Linked DNA regions of Schizosaccharomyces pombe. The protein of the gene in region 4 interacts with the protein of the main gene of each other region in a pairwise test. Each region holds a gene or a part of one and is shown on either strand. Other genes may lie near its edges. The genes, in order: dap1, dcw1, mtx1 and get3.

Region 1 (4,116 bases), 520 kb from region 4:
GTACTCCTCCTTGGCTGCTTTCATCTCCACTTCGTATTCCTCTTGTGCCCGATTCACCAAAAACGTTCTCCAACGCTCTGCAATTTCCAATTCCTCATCTCTACTCCTTCTAAGTTCATCTGCCAAATCTAAAAGAGTTTTACAAGTTCCGTTACGAATAGATTCCAATTCAGCTTCCAGTTCTGCTTTTTTGGCTCGGAACTCACTAGCTGTAAGTGGATTGTTCAATAAAGGATCCAGTTCTTCTTTTTCATTGTCAAAGACTCTCGAAAGGACGTCCATGACGCTTTAACTCTTTTACCACCTATTTGTTCGTGACAAAACAATTTTGTCCTTCTTCCAGCTACTGACGAAGGATTTTAAGGGTAAGGGTAAGATTCTCCGAATACGAAATAAAGTTATCTAAACGAGAAAAGTTGTGCTAATAATTATCAGATGAACAACGGTTTACAATAATTCTTCAAAATGGATCATACATCTACTACCATTTATATATGTTACAACAAAATAGAAGACACAGATGGTTATTAAGTTTTCATTGTCAAAAAAAAACATGGAAATGACATACAATGTTTTTTAAAAGATGCTATCGTAACCTTATCAAGGCACCAAAATTACTGCTACAAGGACTTTTTTCAACATTGCTTAAGAGCCTCTATTTCATGCAAGATAATTTTTGAAAGCAATCATGCTTCTAGTAATTTCATAACACATCATCAAATGTACCCAAATACTACAGATTGATCCTTCGGACGCGGAACGTATACCACTTGTCCTAGATTATCCCAAAGAAAAGATCATAAACCCATAAGCATGAAAGAAGTCATAAAAAACAGGTTTGTCGCTATTAATTATGCGCAACTTTTTCTTCGGTTTCTGAAATAGTAGCTGCTGCTCTGGCCTCTCTGGGACTTATCAGCCTGCCAACAGCTTGATATTTTTGGTCAAAAAATGCTTTCCAATCGTTTAGAGCCTGCCTCTCCTCATCGTTTAAATCACTGCAATCATCCAATTCTTCTGCATCTGAATCAGGAATAAATTCATCGTCAAAACTATTTTTTGCTAAACCACGACTGGCATCATGACCGGCAAAAGCACTATAAGGGCCTTGTGGACCATAAAATTTTGATCCCATTGTAACGTTGTACACAGTTCCCTTGATAGCAAGAAAAACCAATGAATTTTTGGAGCCATTATATTCCTTCAGTTCTGCTGGAGTATAATCTCTCCATTCGGGCTGTTTTGGCTCTTCGCTTGCAATAAAAGATTTCTCATTCTTCCTTCTCCAGCGAGTGATTAGCAAATAAAGAAATAAGGTTACTATAAAAACAACTTGTGTAGATGCCATGGTGTTGGTTTATGGAAGAATCAACTGGTCGCATGATTCTCTCAAAACCTTCGCACTACCTGCTTAGAAGAATACGTACGATAGTTTTGTTACCATGGTACATTACTATATACGGACGGTTATAGAGAATATGTTTATTGCAGTCTCGTTTTCTGCACACATAAACTGTTTAAAAGGCACTGTAATAAAGCATAAGTTAAAAATTTTGGTTAGTTATGTAATTATATATCAATGATTATGTTGCTCATATATACGCACAGAATGGAACATAGCATATCTTATTTACTATGACAAGAATCTTACAAAAGGTTACAATACTCTTTATGCATGTATAGTCTGCGTAATGGTGTTTTGATTTATTCAACAAAGCGAGAAATCGTAGTCGCACGACATTTTTTTAGTAAAAAAAACAAAATTTCTCAACAGCATAGTTATCCAGGCATACACGAACAATGTTTAAACAAACTGCTGTTCAGAACTTGTTTCTCGTTTCACAACTATTGGTTCAAAGAGCTGGGTTTAATAGAATATTGAGCCTTCTGGCTCGTGTTCATCATGGTAGCAGCATGAGTCGAACGCATGCCTATATCATTTGAAATAGTATGCTTCCACTCGTACAAAATGCAAACCTTTCAAGACTATGATTAAAAGTGCTTTATATATAACTAGCAATATATCAGTATCATTACGATTTAAATTTATCCTTTTTTTAAACCAACTAGTTTACTTGCTTTGTGTGCTAGATTACCAACTAGTATCTCACTACTCTCCAACATTATTTCCGTTTCAGTAGAATTATCGATTGATATCAAAGTTTTATTTAAATATGGTAAAACAAGTCTTAGTTTATATCATCAAGCTAATCACGTTCATCCTATAAAGCTACCTAGCAACTACATTAATATGTTGTAGCCTACCGACTCACTGCAATTTCACAAAGTTGAAGAATGCAGTAAAGAGTACTAAGATGACTACATGCCAAAAGAGGCAATAGTCTTCGCACAATCATTGGCACTTGCAAACGTGGAAATTTCTTTTGCAAGCAATTTGACTTGTGTGCGTTGGGTAGGCTATAAACTAAGGAAAATGCAACCTTTATTATTTCCATCCGGTACTACGAAGCAGTCACATTAACCTAACCTGAAGCGAATGAACAGAATAAGAAAATTCTGATAATCTAACAGTCGTTATGGGATTAGTTACTAGAATTAAGCATTCGATTTAGCAAACAAGATCCCAACTATTCGGAATCGGCTCTCCTGAAATCCAAGGTCATTTTGCTACCATTAATTCTCTCGGTAAACCATTATGAATCAGAAATAACGCTCATGCTGATGGACTATAGAATATAGCAGCAAGCATTGTTCTACATAATCGAGGGTTTGTTTTTGTTAAAGAAGCTTATGTATTTGACTAGTAGTAGAAAGGAACCTTTTTATCTCCGTTAATAATAATTATTAAAGTAAACAAATACCATTAATCGAGTAAATAAATATACAAAATATACTTGAACGATCGGCTATTTACAGGAGCTGTAAGATTAAATTGAATATAAAATAATATTTCTTATGGAAAAATTGTTCGGCTAGTTTAGTGTAAATATTCACCGAAGGCTTATATACAGTGTCTATATGATGATGGTTGGTAATTTTTCTTGACAATTTGTTGTGTAAGTATGACTTGACTAGCCTAAGAAAATCGTTTGATTTTATTGACCATCTTACATATCCAAGTGTAATGAAATTTGCAGCTGTTGTCAAGCGGTAGATGTGAATGTATCGTAAGACCGGTAATTTTTAAAAAAAAAAAAAAAAAAAAAAAGAAGAAAAACAGGTCAGTCATTATTTCCTCCAATGTACAGTCATACCAAGAAATCATACAAGTGTTGCCCTTCTTCTTTGATGAATTATTTTGCCGAATAAAATCAATAAACACCGATGGTACAAGTAAACAAAGATTCGGCGAGGAAGTGAAGCCGATGAAGAGTGTAATTAAAGGACGGTAGTAGGTGATTGAGGGTTTTTTTATTATTGAAGAATTTTGGTAGTATAGCTTTATTTATTAAGATAAAAAAATTATTAATTCAAATTTAAAAACTTTTTGAAGCTGATAACGTTGTTTACTGTTTTTAGTCTACAAAATTAATCAATGTTTAATAGTATATGTAAACATCATCCACAGTCGTGAATCAAATCTCCAGTATTCTTTCATGAAATCAAAAAAAATATCTTACAAATAATTAAAAGAATATGCTGCTACACATTCAATGCTTTCTTGAATCCTTTAATAACACCGATCTATTACGTTTTTAGCCTACTCCAACCCAACCCCCGAAGTCACCAGATCATTTACTGTTGTTATATTCCTTTTCGTTATTTAGTTTAGCGCAGCAAACCGGATGTTGTATAAGCAATTTACGATGATTACCATTCTACTACCACATAAAAAGCAATGCCCTCGCTGTTTCTCTAATTGCCCGGTCCATCAACAAGCGATTAGCCCATTCTAGAAACGAAACAATCTTAACACTGAGGCTGGAGAAAAGTTTTAGAAAGTGTTGAATTTTCGATTTTTTACATTGTAATCCTATTCCTTTTCTCTTTCTCTTTTTCCCGCTTCACTTATTACACTTTAAAAGCCTACGCTAACAAGAAAGAGAAAAAGGGCGATAATCTCGTGTATTTGGGTTAAGTGCGTAGGTCTTTTCCTTTTAATAACTTTCTCTTTACGAAAGAAGTCTTAACTGGTATTCATAAACCTTTAATATT
Region 2 (5,000 bases), on a different chromosome or scaffold from region 4:
AGAACCAGATCCTGCTTCAGCTGCCTCTATAGGTTTGGAAGCTGGGCAAGACTCAACGAATACTTATAATCAAGCTCCACTCGACCTGCTAATGGGACTCCCATACATAACTATGAAAAACTACAGAAATGTGTTTTATGGAGGCGTGAAAGATATTCAAGAAGCTTCCGAAACCTCAGAAAGAAAATGGTCAGAACTAATTGGCCCCGAAGCAGGAAGGCGTCTTTATTCCTTCTTCCGAAAACAGTTAAAGGACTATGAGTAATTTATTTTTTTATAATTTTGTAATATATTTAATTTTTGCTTCTACATCTGATATATATTGGTTCACCATATATAGAATGTTAAGCGCACCTAATTAATAACGACTACTACTAGATAAAATGAACTTTCCATAAGTATGTCCCAGACGGAAACTAGTCATTCGGGCTATATTGATTTTAAAAAAGAGTCACAACCTAGCGTCTTCCAATGTAAAAAATGTTTTCAAATAGTTGGTGATTCTAATGCTTGGGTTATTTCTCATCGAGAATATCTTAGTTTCACTTTGAGTGGTATGTGGTAAAAGAAATGTCCATGTAATTAATTATTTCATTTAGATGCAGTAGAAAATAGTGTACGCGTTGAGGATACGTTTAAAAGGAGTGATGATGGTCTTTGGTATGTTGCATGTGTTGCTCGCCAGTTTACTAATACAAAAATTATAGCGTCTATTCAGAGTTGAGTTGTACTAGATGCAATGAAGTGATTGGGAAGGTGTATAATTCTACACCTATATATCTTGATGATATTAGGTATGTCTAGTCGTACTTGGTTGACCAAATTTTAACAAAATCATGTAGAGATATGTATACTTTTTCAATGGACAAATTACAAGCGTAAGTTCATGATTTCATCTTAGTTACTAACCCCAGTGAAGCTACCAACTAGGTAATAAGACCGTAAATCCTGAAGGCCTTACACGGTATCAAGTTGATTTAGAAATGAGAGAGGACATTATAAAGGCATGTACAGTGATTCTTTATATAGTAGAGAAAAATAAACTTTAAGAAGAATAAATTACTAATTTTATTTGTAGTTGAAGTCCTTTTGTCTCTCTCTATATGAAAAGTTCGAACTTCACGATGAAACTTTACGCTCAGTTAAGGAGACAATATCCAGTTTAAAAAAACCGAAAATTGAGGGAAAGGAAGGTAAAAAAGAAAAGGCAAGAACATACTCTAAACGAACGAGGAAATAAGTCCACCGCTAGAAAGTACTGGGATACCATGTACAAACTGTTATATTCAAACAGTTAAAATTGCGGTTAAAACAAAAAGACACAATTTAAATAATACCTTTTTGATGTATTTTTTCTAAGGTTTTCCTTCTTGCTCATTGTGATATGCATGGGGCTGTCGGTCTCACGAATAAATGTGAGAGTATTTTCATTGAAAGGCTTAAGAATTTTATAGAAGATAGATTGCGTTAAGTTATATTTTTTCCCTACCTTTGGTCGTTCGTTGTTTACTGTTTAGATTATTTCTATCAGTCATTAATGAGTCATCATTGAATCATATGAAGGGCGACAGTCATCTGGATACATATGGGAATCTTCAAAGATACTACTCTATTTAATCCTTCTTTTTCAATGAGTCTTACAATCTTTATTTCACTTGCAACTATTTTGTTTTCCTTCGCTGAAGCCATTTCGGTGGATTTGAATGACACGTCCTCCGTTGACTTAGCCACTTCTTTAGTAGCTGATGGATTATTGAATTATTATGCTGGTCAGCACAAAGGAGGAACTATCGGGATGTTCCTTCCTCCAGCCTACTGGTGGGAAGCCGGGGCTGCTTGGAATGTACGTTGAGCTTAAAAGTATAATTTATTAACAACAATGGCTTTAGGGACTTTTAAATAGATACATTGCCACTGGTAATAGTACATATAACGAGTTGGTAAAGACCAGCATGTTGTACCAATCTGGAGAGGATTCAGATTATATGCCTTCGAATTATACAACATCTGAGGGAAATGACGATCAGGCATTTTGGGGTCTGACCGTTATATCTGCCGCTGAAGCAAACTTTTCAAATCCAGCAGCCGATGAACCACAATGGTTGGAACTGGCTCAAGCTGTATTCAACCAACAGGTCACACGATGGGACACGGATCATTGCAACGGTGGTCTTCGATGGCAGATTACTGAATTTAACTCTGGGTACAACTATAAGAACACTGTCTCAAATGGAGCATTTTTTCAGCTTGCAGCTCGACTGGCTCGATTCACCGATAACGATACTTATGCTGAGTGGGCTAATGTAGCATACGATTGGAGCCAAAGGATTGGGTTTATTCAAGAAGATTACACTGTATTTGATGGGAGTTCTATAAAAGATAATTGCTCATCTATCGAAATTACTCAGTGGACTTACAATATAGGATTATACATGGCAGGAGCAGCTTACATGTATAACTATGTACGTTTAAAGGATATATACATTATAACTTTACTGTAAAATGCAAAATGATTGTAACTAACAGTTTCACCAGACGAACTCTACGGTATGGAAAACTCGAGTTGAAGGTTTTGCCAACAAAACTGCCAAAACCTTTTTTTTCAAGGATATTATGTTCGAACCAGTATGTGAAATAGCTCTTTCATGTAACTATGATCAAACGTCTTTCAAAGGCTTTTTGACCAGATTTATGGTCTACACGGCACAAATGGCTCCATTCACTGCACCGTTATTAGAACCATTGTTGATATCCACCGCCAAAGCTGCAGCCGGGGCATGTTGCGGCGGTTATGATGGAGTGACTTGTGGTGTTCAATGGTGGTGGAATAACGATACTTGGGATGGTATGTTTGACTGTTAAAAAAAAACAGTATTGGTTCTAACTTTATAATAGGACTTTATGGCCTTGGAGAGCAAATGTCTGCATTGGAAGCTATTCAAGCTCCCTTACTTTTAAAATCGCTTCAAGTCTTTAAGGCTTCGAATGGAGGATCATCAACAGGAGACCCCAATGCAGGGCTTTATACTGCTCCTGTATCTTTCGCTAACAAAAATTTTGAAAACCTGAGGAAACATTGGATGCTATTGGGGTTCTTCCTTTTAGTGCCTACACTGGTCCTTTACTAAAAAATGTGATGTTAAGTAATGCAAGTTGATGGATCTAGGGTTTTTAAATTGCTTCTTCTTACTTGGAAACAATTACCTGTCTTTTAATGCTTGTTCCTCAGAGACGGTGTTTCACTTCCAAACTGTATACCGAATTATATATAAATAGATGGATATATCTCATGTATTCCGGTAGTAGATCATTGCTGAAAGACTATTTATTAACGAATTTACAAAATTTAGTTATTAAAATTTAATTCATTTCTTAAATTATGAATCGGCGTGATAAACAAGCATATGCTTGCGAACAAGTATGGTTCGACAAGCTGGTTTTTCAAAATAAATAATTTTAGCAGATTTTGAAGCGAAAGCCCTCAATCTATATAATTTACAATGAAATGGATTATGTGATGATTTATGTTCTCTTTCGTCAGTATTCCATGCTTAGTTGTTCATGACCTTAAAAAATCATTCGAGAAATCTGATTAGTTTTATAGACTTGCCCTTGACCAAACTTCTACTGTTAGCAATACTGCAGGAATCGTGAAAACTAGAGATTTCTTTTAAATTTTTTGAAACTATTGAAAGGTTTCTTATTCTTTAAATTATTTTAGTTTCTTGAAGATTTTGTAATTTGAGTCTTCTGGAAACGTTTCGCATTTCTTCTGCTTTCAGGCTTCTCTACTTTTTCTTTAGTTATTTTGGCTCACAATCCTAATTGAAATGGCCAAACAAACTCTTCTTAGTACCCCGTTGCATGGAGTCTATATTCCAGTGTTTTTGATCATCTTTGGTACTTACATTGTGAAACGCGAATGGGTGGGTTACGCTATTGTTGTGGCATTCTCTCTTGGTTTTCATAAGTTCTGGCGTGGACGCGTTCGTAAAGTATTGAGTGATAAAATTCAACAATTTGAACTTAGTGATAAAGCTGTATTGAACCACAACACTGCCATTTATCGTTTCCGTCTGCCTCGCGCTAACGATGTTCTTGGTCTCCCCATAGGACAACATTTAAAGGTCTTTGTTGATGTTGATGGTAAGGAGTATTCCAGATCTTACACTCCTCTGTCTTCCGATGCTGACAAAGGTTATTTTGATTTGCTCGTAAAGTCTTACCCCAATGGCAAAGTGAGTAAGAAGTTTTCTGAACTTAAGATTGGTGATACCATCGGTGTTCGTGGCCCTAAGGGAAATTGGAAGCATCGCACTGGCCTCGCGCGCCATTTTGGCATGATCGCAGGCGGAACAGGTATTACTCCTATGCTTCAAATCATTCGTGCTGTTCTTTCTAATTTTGAAGATCCAACGGAAATCACTCTTTTATATGCTAATGTATCAGAGGGTGATATTGTTCTTCGTGATGAGATTGACGCACTTGCTAAGAAGGATCCTCGTTTTACCGTTCATTATGTTTTGAACAATCCTCCTGAAAACTGGAAGGGAAGTGTTGGATTTGTTACTCAAGAACTTATCAAGGCGCATTTCCCTGCTCCTTCTCCTGAAACCAAAGTTCTTATTTGTGGCCCTACTCCCATGGTTAATTCACTCAGAGAAGCTACAGTTGCATTGGGATATGAAAAGTCCCGAGCCATTTCGAAGCTTGAGGATCAAGTATTTGTCTTTTAGATTTTAATTTTGATTATTTCCCTTCCCTCGTTTCAATAATGTTCTTCGTTTTATGTTGCCAATCGACTCACTCTACTGCAATTTATCTTACTACACGGCACATGTTTTAAGTAGTTAATTATTTGACGTGACTATATGTTTACGAATAAGCTAGAGACTTTTTTATCTGCTTGGATTGAAGTTAGCAATGATACGTACACAGTCTAGTCTAGTGAAGGATCAAGCCAATGCAATCTTAAAAGAGAAATAAACAAAATTTACATT
Region 3 (6,218 bases), on a different chromosome or scaffold from region 4:
TAATATCGGTGTATATGTACTACTTACTAATGTGCGTAATTCTTAGCAAATTCAAACCAAACGGCCTTTTACCAAACCTGTGCTCACTCTCTGTATGTTTGGCAGTAGCTATGGAATATTGATGTTCGTTAAGAGCGTTTCATAAATTAAAGAAGCCAATTTAAGGAAGAAGGAAAGGAAGGTGGTAGTAGTGTGTATTCGTCCAAATGAGACACTCGGGCATGGTTATGAACACTACTTAAGTATAGTAAAACATGTGCCTTAAAGAAGACCAATTTTTTTTTTTTAAAAGCTTCTTTTTGCCAGTGATTTCTCTGTTTTGGAATATCTTATCGATTCGTTGAAATTAATGAAGTTATATAATTTTAGCTGATAGACATCAAGTCTTTGTAGCGAGCATCACAAACCAAACATCAAATCAAAAAAAGTATACTTTGTTTTGTTTTAAAAACATACAAACATAGTTTCTCTTTTTTTTTTCTTTTTTTGAAAAAGAACATTCCACTACAAGAATCAATTTCTTGCAGTTCCAATTGTTTTCACCAGAAAACAGTTTTATAACACAATATTAGGCATATTTAAAAAGAATTGGTGCTGAGGTTATGCTTTTGGAGTATTTTTTTGTAATACTCCTACATGTCAACATTGCTATTTGTTGCTTACATTGACTTTTTAAGTTAATAGATTGTCGCTTTATTTTGAGAACTCTCATAGATAGATAAAACATATTGCTTAAACTAAATGAATAAATGATTTTGCAATTGAAATCTTGAGCATCCTGAAAGTGTTTAAATTGAATAGACGCTAAATGATGAGTGATTTTGCGCACTTGTTTCTGAATAATCGGGAGCTCAATGCAATTTAACCCGTTATTAAAGTTTTTAATCAAAACCGAGTTTTGTTTTACTTTTACAAAACCCGAATCACTTGGTTCTGTAATACTTATCCAAACAAGTTTCAATAAGTGCACATACAGAATTAAGCTTAATAATTACTTTCGATTTAAGAAATAAATAAATTTAATTATGATTTTATAACCGTAAGAGAGTATAGATTACCTTTGCTAAGCATAAAATTGTCGATTTAAAAAAAAAAAAAAAGCACGTGAACTTGCGAAGCAATGTCCAAATTTGAAAGGATAATAAAAAAAGAACAGTACAAAACAAAAACTATTCAACAATAGGTGGATTAAATCAGCAAAATGAAATTGGGTTGTTTGAGGCTTGAGGTCATTGCACTGTCAGTCTTCACCGTCGTCGCATCACTTCACCTCCATTGCAGGGCAAATTGTCACGCTGAAGGAAATTGCTTAATTTTTAAACCATGGAAGCAGTAGGCAAACACGTTAAGTTATTTTGGAACGTTTATAGTGATTATGCCGTACTTATAGCCATATCTTTAAGCTATTTCGTATTTGACGTACTAATGTTGCCCTTTACTCGCCAATTTTCCTTAGAAGACATAACCATTTCTCATCCATTTGCACTTCATGAGCAAGTTCCCACAAAGTATCTCGGTGTATGTTGTTTATCTTGATGATTATAGACAATTGGTAAAATTGCTTAGCTAACCCTCTAGATTATTTGTGTTTTCTTTCCTGCACTTGTCCTCTACGGATTCGGCAAATTAAGAAATAATTCGTTACTATTTTGGAAATCTCTTATGGGTCTCTTATACTCTACAATGGTCTGCGGTCTTTGCGTTTCTCTACTTAAAAATGCGGTGGGCAGGCCACGACCCGACTTCCTTGCACGCTGCCAACCTTTTGAGTCAACTCCAAAAACTGGTTTGGTAGATGTTCTATCTTGTTCTGTGCCATGGTCGGATAAAGTATTGCAGGATGGGTTCCGTTCTTTTCCATCTGGCCACACATCATTTTCATTTGCTGGCCTTGGATTTCTAGCAATCTTCCTTGCAGGTCAGTTAAAGATGTTCCGTAATAAAACCTCTTCATGGAAGGTAGTAGTCCCACTTGTGCCTTTGAGCATTGCATCCTGGATTGGTCTCAGCCGCAGTCAAGATTACCGTCACCACAAAGAAGACATTGCAGTCGGTGCCCTTTTTGGTTTTGCAATTGCGTATGTCGTTTATCGTCAACTCTTTCCTCCTTTAGATCATCATAATGCCGATATCTTATATGTCCAAGCTGAGCTCGATGAAGGTTATACCAACGTTCATTCAGCCGGTAACTCATCAGCCACGAACGCAGAACAGATGGTTTAAGGATCCCTTTATCCTTCTTTTTATTTTATTATTTTGTTAACATGACAACAACGTTTTATTGCTGCAGTGTTCTTATATAGATACAAAAAAACCTGATACTAGTATTTATCTAGATTTATTAGATTTTGACTAATAAATATGTAAAGAAAACTTGGAAGCCGATATCGGGTTAATATTTAACAAATGTAGATTATGTTTAAGAACCGAGAAATTATTTTTTGTTTTTACAATCAAACAATCTCTTCCTCCAAGTCATCCAAATCATCTAAATCAAATTCTTCATCGTCATCATCGTCATACCCAAATTCTTCATCCATAATTTCATCTTCTGCAAATCCAGAAAACAATAAATCTTGCGCTGATAAAGGTTGCAAATCAAAAGAACTTGACTCTTTTTCTTCTTCCTTAGGTAACTCTTTACTTGATGAGGTTTCTGAACTGTCATGGGTCGCTTTTGATTCAGTAGTTTCATCAATTTCTTTTTCTTGTATGCTTTCTTTAGCATCATCTACTTCCTCAAAGGAAGCCTCATCATCTTCCGTCTCAATGACAACTATACCATTGCTGATGACAAACCATACAAAGCTGAAAGCGGATGCAAAAATAAAGAATCCATTCCTCGCCCACAGCAGTTTCCTTTCGGGAGGGACGCTAAACTTAGTAATTGATTTCCTTGTATCATTTGCTTTGGCAGTAACATTGTTCCAAGCAAGGCGAGCTATAGTCAATAGATTTTCGGGTTGAACTTTAATCGATAAAGGAGAAAGTATGTTTGAATCATCGGAAAACCAGGTTTCGCGTAAAGATTTGAGATAGGCATAAAGCTTGGGAGAGTTGAATTGCAAACATGGTCGCAAAGTTGCTTGAGGAAGCTCATTGGTGAAAGCATGGAAAGATAAATAGGCGTAAAACAAACAATCGAGAGATGTTGGCTTTTCACCGAATATAAATTTTGAATCTGAAATCAGGGACTCAAGCGAACCATATACCTGCCGAGCTAATGACGAAATTCTTATACGACGAGCTTGCGTGCGCAGTAGAGCTTGCCTATGTCTAGTAGCATTAGTCCATTTATGAGAAATAGGCATCCTTGATGCTTCATAAGAGACTTCTTCGTCGCGAATACCAAGTGTTTGAGCCAAGCGTTCTTTTGCTTGCCGTTGCAAAGCATTGGGTGTCAAATAATTATGAGGAAATTTAAGTGCCTTTGACCAAGCAGGTCTTATTGCTTCAACAAAATTTTCCTCATTAACAAAGGCTTCTAATAACCAAAGGTCATTGACGGAACCTTCCAATAAACTGGTGAAGGCCATAACATTGGCCAGCTGTTTCGCATCAAAATTATCCAAATTATAGCCCTTCTGTTTCAAGTATATTAAAATGTTTTTCAAAGATCCAATCCAAACATGACCATCCCACAAAGCTGGTAGCTTATGGGTAGGGCTCATACCTGAATTTGCAGTGCGAAGAATTTCAATTTCGTCCTTTGGGACGGCAAGTGCGCAATAAATTAATGCCGCTAAGCATCCAGGATCCATCGTTGGTTGCCCAAGTCCTGGGCTATAAATGAAAAGTTGCAACATTTTGATCAAAAAATGACCCGAACGAATGAATTGAAAAAGTTACCGTCTACAGTAGGGTTGAGATTAGAGAAACACAGAAGAAAGAAAAAAAAGGTAATAACTAACCAACTAGTCCAACTTACCAAATTCGCTGAAGCTAGTTACAATTATCATTCTGATGCTATGCAGTCAAGTAAGCTATACGAACAAGTAACATTGTTACCTATTTATTAGTTGTTAAAAAGTGAATTAAACATCGATAATTAGCACAATAAATCGATTGAGCATTTGAACTTTGAGATTTTACTTAGTATATTTGTATGGCGCTTCTGCTGTATCTGCAGCGTAAAACCCATCTAAAATGAGACTTTGTTTATGCATCCATAGTATAGAAGAATATACAATCTCACAAAAGCTTCACTTGTGATAATCCTTTTTGCACAATGAGTACATATTTAATTATTAAGAAGTATAAGTGTGCTAAAGACTATTCTAAATCCAAACATAACGAACTATTCCTCTATCGAAAATTCAAGTCAATTTATTTCTTATATAAGACAGTATAAATCTTGTATATATATAATTGTACGTATGAATACACATGTAAGCTTTCCCAGTTACCGTCAATGCAAGTCACTCTTTGCTTTCTAGTTAGACATAAACTTTGCGTCAAAGAGTTGATGACGGACTAGCAACAATAATTAGCAAGATATAAAATAGTTCACTCTATTCCAAAAGTTGTAAAATTAGACCCAAGTGGTTTGTTTACTTGCGCTTTGAAACAGATTCGGTGGAAACAGTTTCTACACTCTGAGTAGTAGCAGACTCGGATTCCAATTTAGCCTTTTCAGCTAATTCTTGCTCCCTCATATCTTCAGCGTATTCGCGCTGCTGGATACTTTGAACATGATATCCGAAAACGTATCCAAGTTGAATAAGAATGACACCAGCAAGAAGAAATTCAACAAGAACATGAGAAGCAGCAAGAACGGACAAGTGCATATTTCGTGGGAATTGAACATAATTCTGTAGCTTAACAACCAACATAGAAGGAGCAACATTAACAATAAACAAAATTAGTGCAGTAAGATAAAGAAGCGTGCTAGAGTAAAAGAACAATTTGTCATCACCTTTAGCGCCAGTGGCTTGAATAAGATGGAAAATCATATTAAGTCCCATGATGGTATATACAGTATATTTTACAATGAAATGGGATCCAGCCACCAAAGTATAGTAAGTTTCAGCAGCATCGAAAGCAGACTCAGGGCCAGGACTCCATAAGGTATTCACATCGGCAACGCTCTAAATGACATTAGTAATTTATGCTAAGAAAATAAAGACTATGAACAAAGTAATCAATTCGAAGTGAAGCTCCAAAAACATAAGAACAACAGAAAAATGAGCAGCGCGGCAAACATTGAGCGGTAAGATGAATGCTCGTATCCGATTATGAAAACTTAAACAGACAAAAAGCTCCTTTTTAGAAACGTTCCTGATAAAATAATTTTCCAGATTTATTTTAACAATGCATGTTTTGTAAAACAAATTCAGAATTCACTCAAAGTACCGACTTATAATTTCTCATATTCTGCTCCCTTTGTCTCCAAAAGCTAAACGAAATTGATATCAAATGAAAGTTGATTTTCAAATGAATAATCTTAGAATAAAATAGAAATTTGATTGGAACATACGCTGTGGAAAAGTAAAGCAAAAATAAAACTAGTTGACATAAGGACTCCATAACGGGCAGCGACCTTCAAGCCCTTTTCATCAGCAAAACGAAATATGGATCTTTTAGCCATCTTGAATAATGATAATAAACTTTTTTTTTGTTAATGAAAATATACGTTAGTGGTAGGTTAATTAAGACTACCTTTTTATACCAAAGTGATACCACTCCGCTTTCGACGGTCTAAAGGATTGTATGAGTATAAGGAAATCGAACGCATTTTCCACTAATATGCATTGTATGCAGAAAAACATCATGAACGGCTATCTAAATCTCACGAATAAGAAAAATCAACCCAAGATAAATCAGTTGGCAAAATTATTTAATATAAAATATAACCAGATATATTTGAGCGACTATTGTATGTCACTATTTATTGTAACTGAATACACAACATCATAGCGTTTTCAAGTTAAGCGAGACTGTAAAGCTTATATCAAAATAAGGGAATTTATTAATTGGCTGTAAATAAAACAAATGAATGCCAATGCCTCGATATGTAAAAATACTAATAAAACTACAGAAACAATATAGAAGAACATACAAAGATCCTTTGTATACTTGAAAAAAAGAAATAATTTCATAAATGAGGTGTTTTTGTCTTCCTAACTATATGTTTCGTCAGTTTTCACAATGGTCGCAAAATCTGTTTCTAAAATGCTCAATTGTTTATTATCCTAGTTCCCTATTAGTAAATTTTTTTC
Region 4 (4,829 bases):
CACACTCCTGCTGTTCCTGCTGTCCCGTCTCAAGTCAAAGACCTCCCTTCTATTTCAAAGCCTCAAGAATTGGATGAAGAAGAAGAACTTCGAAAACTACAGGCTGAATTCTCTCTTTAAAGTGACCAGTACGCTTGCTCGGTATTTTTATTATTTTCTCAATATGTTAAAGTCATCTTCTAAGGTTTCTGTTATAACTTATGGAATTATTTAATTTGTCAGTTGTTAGTATTCTATGTTTTCCTTGTTATGAGTCATCATGGAAGCCTAAATACAAATTTTATGTACAATACCATTATTAGACTATAACTTATAGGTCTCCGTCCTCATGTTCGGATGTGTGTTTTTTCATTGTATTTTAATAATTGGTGTAGTTAAATAATCTACGGAAAAACTAGCTGAAGAATTTTACATATTACGTCTTCTTCATTCTACTAAAACAACTGTATCAAATGACTGTTAGTTCAAGTTAACTTTTTAATGTTTTGAGTTATTCCAGACACGTTCATATCTTGTCAAATTGATTAATATTAATCTAAACAGTGTGCTCAGAATCCTGTTGTGTTTAATCATTAAACAGTGTATCAACCTAGCGCTTTTGGTTTATTTGCTTTGGCAAATAGTCAAGCTCAACTGAGGAAACGATAAGAATTCTTCAACAAAATAAAAGTAATGTAAAAACTTAGAAACAGCCATTCTAATATGCATATTCAAGCTGTCAATCAATTTGTTAAAAAATATACATTTAGAGGCTTTTGACACCCTTATTAACAGCAGTGGATAAGATTGAAAAAATACATTATTCTTTGCCAGAAGTAGGATAAACGTAAGGCTTGACCAACATCTCAGAGAAAGACTTCAAAGCTTCAGTACCGCGAACTTCAGCTGGAACTTGCGGTACTTTGACAACATGAAAGTCTTCATAGAGCTCTTCAATTTGCGCCAAATATTTTTGTTGCATTTTTCTTCTAGCCATACACTGGGGACAAGTGGTGTTGGGATCAAGCAAAAGTTGGTTAACAACGATGTTGTGAGTATCAATTTCATAACTAGTAAGTTCTTGAATCATTCTTTCAGTTTCATAAAGAGAAAGGAACTCGGAAATACATACACACACAAAAGTAGTAAGATCTGGATTCTTAAATTGCTTGTTAACTTCAGAAATATTAGCACGCATGCTTTCCATCTTTCCAAATAGATCTTGTTCATTGGCATTTACACCCATTATGCTACCCATTTGGTTAATCATAGGGCCAAATCTACTGGAGAGACCGCCAAGCTTGCCGAGAGCTTTTTCCAAAACAGTTGGAAAATTCAAAAATCTTAACGTATGTCCAGTAGGAGCGGTATCGAAAATGACACAATCAAATTCCATAGATTTGATCTGCTTAAGGATTTCAGCGAATGCCAATGCCTCGTCGATACCTGGTATTGTAAAAGCCAAATCCTGCATCATTCCAGATAAAGGATTATTGGGATTTTGTTGGTCAGCTTGCTCTGTCATTTCCTGAATGGATAAATTAGGATCGATCTCCATGGCACTCAGATTATCAAAACCAGGAACCTTACGAGCGTCTTTTCCAAATTTCGTGCCAAAGGCATCAGAAAGATTGTGAGCAGGATCCGTGGAGATAAGTAGAACAGAGGATCTAACTTTTGACATTTGAATGGCCAATGAACACGACGTAGTTGTTTTTCCTACACCGCCTTTTCCTCCTACAAAAATCCATTTTAAGGAAGTTTGCTCAAGAAGGTTTTCTAAGGTTCCAGGCAATGGGTCGAAGGACATTTTACTTTATTAGAGAATTTTTTTTTTTAATCTGAAGCTAGTCTTCTTATAGACTCTCGTTGACCAGATGCACGATGCGATATGCTGAGGATAGGTGTTACGACAGTTTGCAAGTGAAAATGAAGATCCTAAGTACGCGGCAGATCAGTTCCCAACGATCAGAGATAAAAATTTAATTAAAGACTTAATAATTGTACATTGCAACTACAATTAATAGTGTATAGCATGTTTTGTTCCTATTTTTGATACGCTAGCAATATAACAATTAAGTAAGTTTTTTATCAAGGATTCGTAAAGCCATGCTAGTAGAATGCTAAATACGGTATGCTGAAATTTCATAATTAAAAAAATTCCTTTAAATGGATTTTCTAATCGTATAATATGTTTTGGCCTGCTGAAGCTCGATTACCATATTCGTTATAAAGAAAAGAACTACATGGAATCATTCAACGTAAATCAAGGATCAGAGCTACAGATGTTTGTTGATGACTAAAGCACTCACAAGAAATCAAGGAACAACTTTGAATCATACTGAGCAGAGAATATACTATTTTGTACCATCATATAAATTTGCATCCATATCAACAACATATTTAGTAAACTACCAGTTTTTGCATACCGATAGAGGAGATATATTAAACTGAATTAAAGAAAAAGTTATTATTTCTAAGTCTGAATATAATCCCTGATAAGCAAACAAAGAAAAACATAAAACACACTATCGAAACCCAACACCAAACAAAAACAATCGTAAAAAGTATTAATAGTACATTAAAATCGGATCCTTATGAATACCCCTGTACAATTAAATATGACTATCTTGATTCGCAGCATCCAGTACCAGTGGATGGGGTTCCATAAGTATCACTCGCGAAAAGGAAAAATCCTATCCAAGCACCTACGAAACCGAACAAAATGGCATATCCGTTAAACGACATTACAATCAACATGAGGATGGTAGCGGACAAGTAAAACGATGAATACATGGCTGCTCGTATTAGTTGTTGCCAGACAGTAACATGCACAGTGGAACTTGGAAAGAAGATACGCAGAGGTCCACTTAAAGTTTTGCCATTAGAGTGAGCAACAATCCAGCGATCAAACATTCTTTGAACGAGGGACAAACCTTCAATAGCGACGGCGAAGAAAAAAATTCCAATAATACTACCGGCGAATTTGTTTCCAGTGTTGATATGCCAGGATTTAGCCAGGAAACACGAGTCATGTATATACCAATTCCATAGCATACTCATGCGACATGTCGCAGCACTCGAGTTACTGGAGCTACCCATACCCATGCCACTCATGCCACTCATACTCATCTTACTTAAGCTCATTTTGTTGCAAGAAGCGTTAGCCAAATATTGAGAAGTATCTTAGGTATCTGTCAATAAAGGATAAGAGCCGATAAAAAGAAAGAAAAGAAGACACTCAATGGAAAGCGTCTTAAACTAAAATAACAAGTATAACCGGAACAATGCGAAAACAAATGTCTTTTGTTGAAAGTAAGTTAATAACACTAGTTTTACCACCTTTAAGCGAAATATCTCTCTATGAGCTGGGCCTTTTTCGCAGACAGACAAAATGTATAATTTAGCAACTTCTTACTGCTACCTATACACTTGAATTAGAATGATCACTACAGGTTTTTTTCAAGTCCTGAATGTTCAATTAAGCTGAACGCTCAAATATCGCTTCAAAGTGAACGGGGGTAGGATTACCTTTTATAGCAGTTTAAAAGCATCATCTACTGATATGCGACTTTTTCTCCTTTGGGTAAAAACTACCAGCTATAATCGCTCAGCAAAATTCCCGCCAAATGGTGATTAAGGTATTGCGGCGGGTCGCGTTAATCGAAAAGAATATAAAAATAAAAAAAAAAAGCAAAATTAATTAATTAATTAAATCAAACATACAAAGGAATTTGGATGAATATGAATATGTAAATTTTAATCCCGGTGATGTTATCGTATACATTAAGAGTTACAAGAAACTCCAAAAAAAATAAACAAATGAGGTTTGCCTAAATTGATATTCAAATACGATTTTCGTACGTTGTAAATAGATATAAAAGTAAAGTAAGATTTGTATGAATACAATAACAATTAAGATTCTTCTTTTGATTAAAGCACTACAGGAGCATTTATACACTTAATTGGTTTAATTATTTGTAGAAGATAATTTATAAATAACCATGCAATGTCACATTAATTTAATTTAGCTGCTCCTTTTAAAATTTTTTTTTTAAAACGATTATGATTTTAAATTCTTTTTTTATTCTTGACATAATTGCTTAATAAGGAATGAACGTATGGTCCATTTAAATAAAATAAAATAAAAATCACCAAATATTGAGTGGGTTATAAAAACCAAACCTTTATGAGATATTACAAGAAAATTAAAACAAAGTTGTCATTCATGGCCTAAAAAAAAAAAAAAAAAAAAAAAAAAAAAAAAATATTTCAAATCGTACACATTTATATTTTTGGTACTTTAATGGTTTATTCATTATCAGTTTATGGTTTCAGCGAGTTCAAGACAATAATTGTATCGAAGCATTGAAAACACAAACATTCTTTTTGCACAGAAACAAAAACAAAAAAACGAAATGAAGCCTACAGCACCCCGGATTCCCATGTTGTCTCCAACCATAGTACTAACGAGGCCCTCAGACGCTTAACTGCAGTGATCGGACGGGAACTGGTGTTTTCGCCTAGGTATGGCCGTAGACATTAAACATGTCTAGTTTATAAATTATATAGTCAAGAAATCTTGAATGCAGCCCTTAAGTGTAGCTTGTTATCAGTGCAGAAGAATAGTTCGTAGTAAGAAAAACTGCGTAGAACAATACTACAAAAAGGCAATAAAATCGATCAATTAGGTTTTCTTTTGAAAAATGGTTTATGATGATCAATCACTACATACCAGTTATTGTTTTATTGAGTGTATTCAGTAGGGAAGTATTTTTTCCCGCAATTTGGGTTGGTCAATGATTATGAAGATAAATTGAAAACAATGGACATACTTGATACAAATTGAC

Evidence for each region.
Region 1: the proteins of get3 (region 4) and dap1 interact in a two-hybrid assay, tested with the Schizosaccharomyces pombe proteins (one large-scale study listed by BioGRID).
Region 2: the proteins of get3 (region 4) and dcw1 interact in a two-hybrid assay, tested with the Schizosaccharomyces pombe proteins (one large-scale study listed by BioGRID).
Region 3: the proteins of get3 (region 4) and mtx1 interact in a two-hybrid assay, tested with the Schizosaccharomyces pombe proteins (one large-scale study listed by BioGRID).

Annotation. Positions count from the first base shown.
Region 1 is NC_003424.3:4,152,705-4,156,820, reverse strand, and holds dap1 (cytochrome P450 regulator Dap1), read right to left. Parts: upstream 1,362-4,116; 5' UTR 1,349-1,361; coding exon 848-1,348; 3' UTR 501-847; downstream 1-500. Other genes in the region: Clr6 and Rpd3L histone deacetylase complex subunit Sds3, read right to left, coding at 1-282. UniProt on the Schizosaccharomyces pombe protein: Required for sterol biosynthesis. Functions as a positive regulator of cytochrome P450 enzymes erg5 and erg11. Function requires bound heme.
Region 2 is NC_003421.2:510,171-515,170, reverse strand, and holds dcw1 (mannan endo-1,6-alpha-mannosidase), read left to right. Parts: upstream 1-1,630; coding exon 1,631-1,843; intron 1,844-1,889; coding exon 1,890-2,462; exon of another isoform or gene 2,463-2,535; coding exon 2,536-2,845; exon of another isoform or gene 2,846-2,895; coding exon 2,896-3,128; 3' UTR 3,129-3,405; downstream 3,406-5,000. Other genes in the region: rad16 (DNA repair endonuclease XPF), read left to right, coding at 1-265; kinetochore protein Mis18, read left to right, coding at 401-554, 600-660, 708-794, 843-878, 920-1,004, 1,079-1,240; cbr1 (cytochrome b5 reductase), read left to right, coding at 3,831-4,736.
Region 3 is NC_003423.3:1,170,279-1,176,496, forward strand, and holds mtx1 (metaxin 1), read right to left. Parts: upstream 3,955-6,218; 5' UTR 3,929-3,954; intron 3,853-3,928; 5' UTR 3,807-3,852; coding exon 2,454-3,806; 3' UTR 2,224-2,453; coding exon of another isoform or gene 1,579-2,223; 3' UTR 1,519-1,578; coding exon of another isoform or gene 1,324-1,518; 3' UTR 1,029-1,323; downstream 1-1,028. Other genes in the region: SPOM_SPBC409.18 (phosphatidic acid phosphatase), read left to right, coding at 1,324-1,518, 1,579-2,223; chaperone protein Shr3, read right to left, coding at 4,551-5,087, 5,477-5,587.
Region 4 is NC_003424.3:3,634,062-3,638,890, reverse strand, and holds get3 (GET complex ATPase subunit Get3), read right to left. Parts: upstream 1,882-4,829; 5' UTR 1,790-1,881; coding exon 800-1,789; 3' UTR 501-799; downstream 1-500. Other genes in the region: ESCRT III complex subunit Vps32, read left to right, coding at 1-120; Cu transporter complex subunit Ctr5, read right to left, coding at 2,605-3,126. UniProt on the Schizosaccharomyces pombe protein: ATPase required for the post-translational delivery of tail-anchored (TA) proteins to the endoplasmic reticulum. Recognizes and selectively binds the transmembrane domain of TA proteins in the cytosol.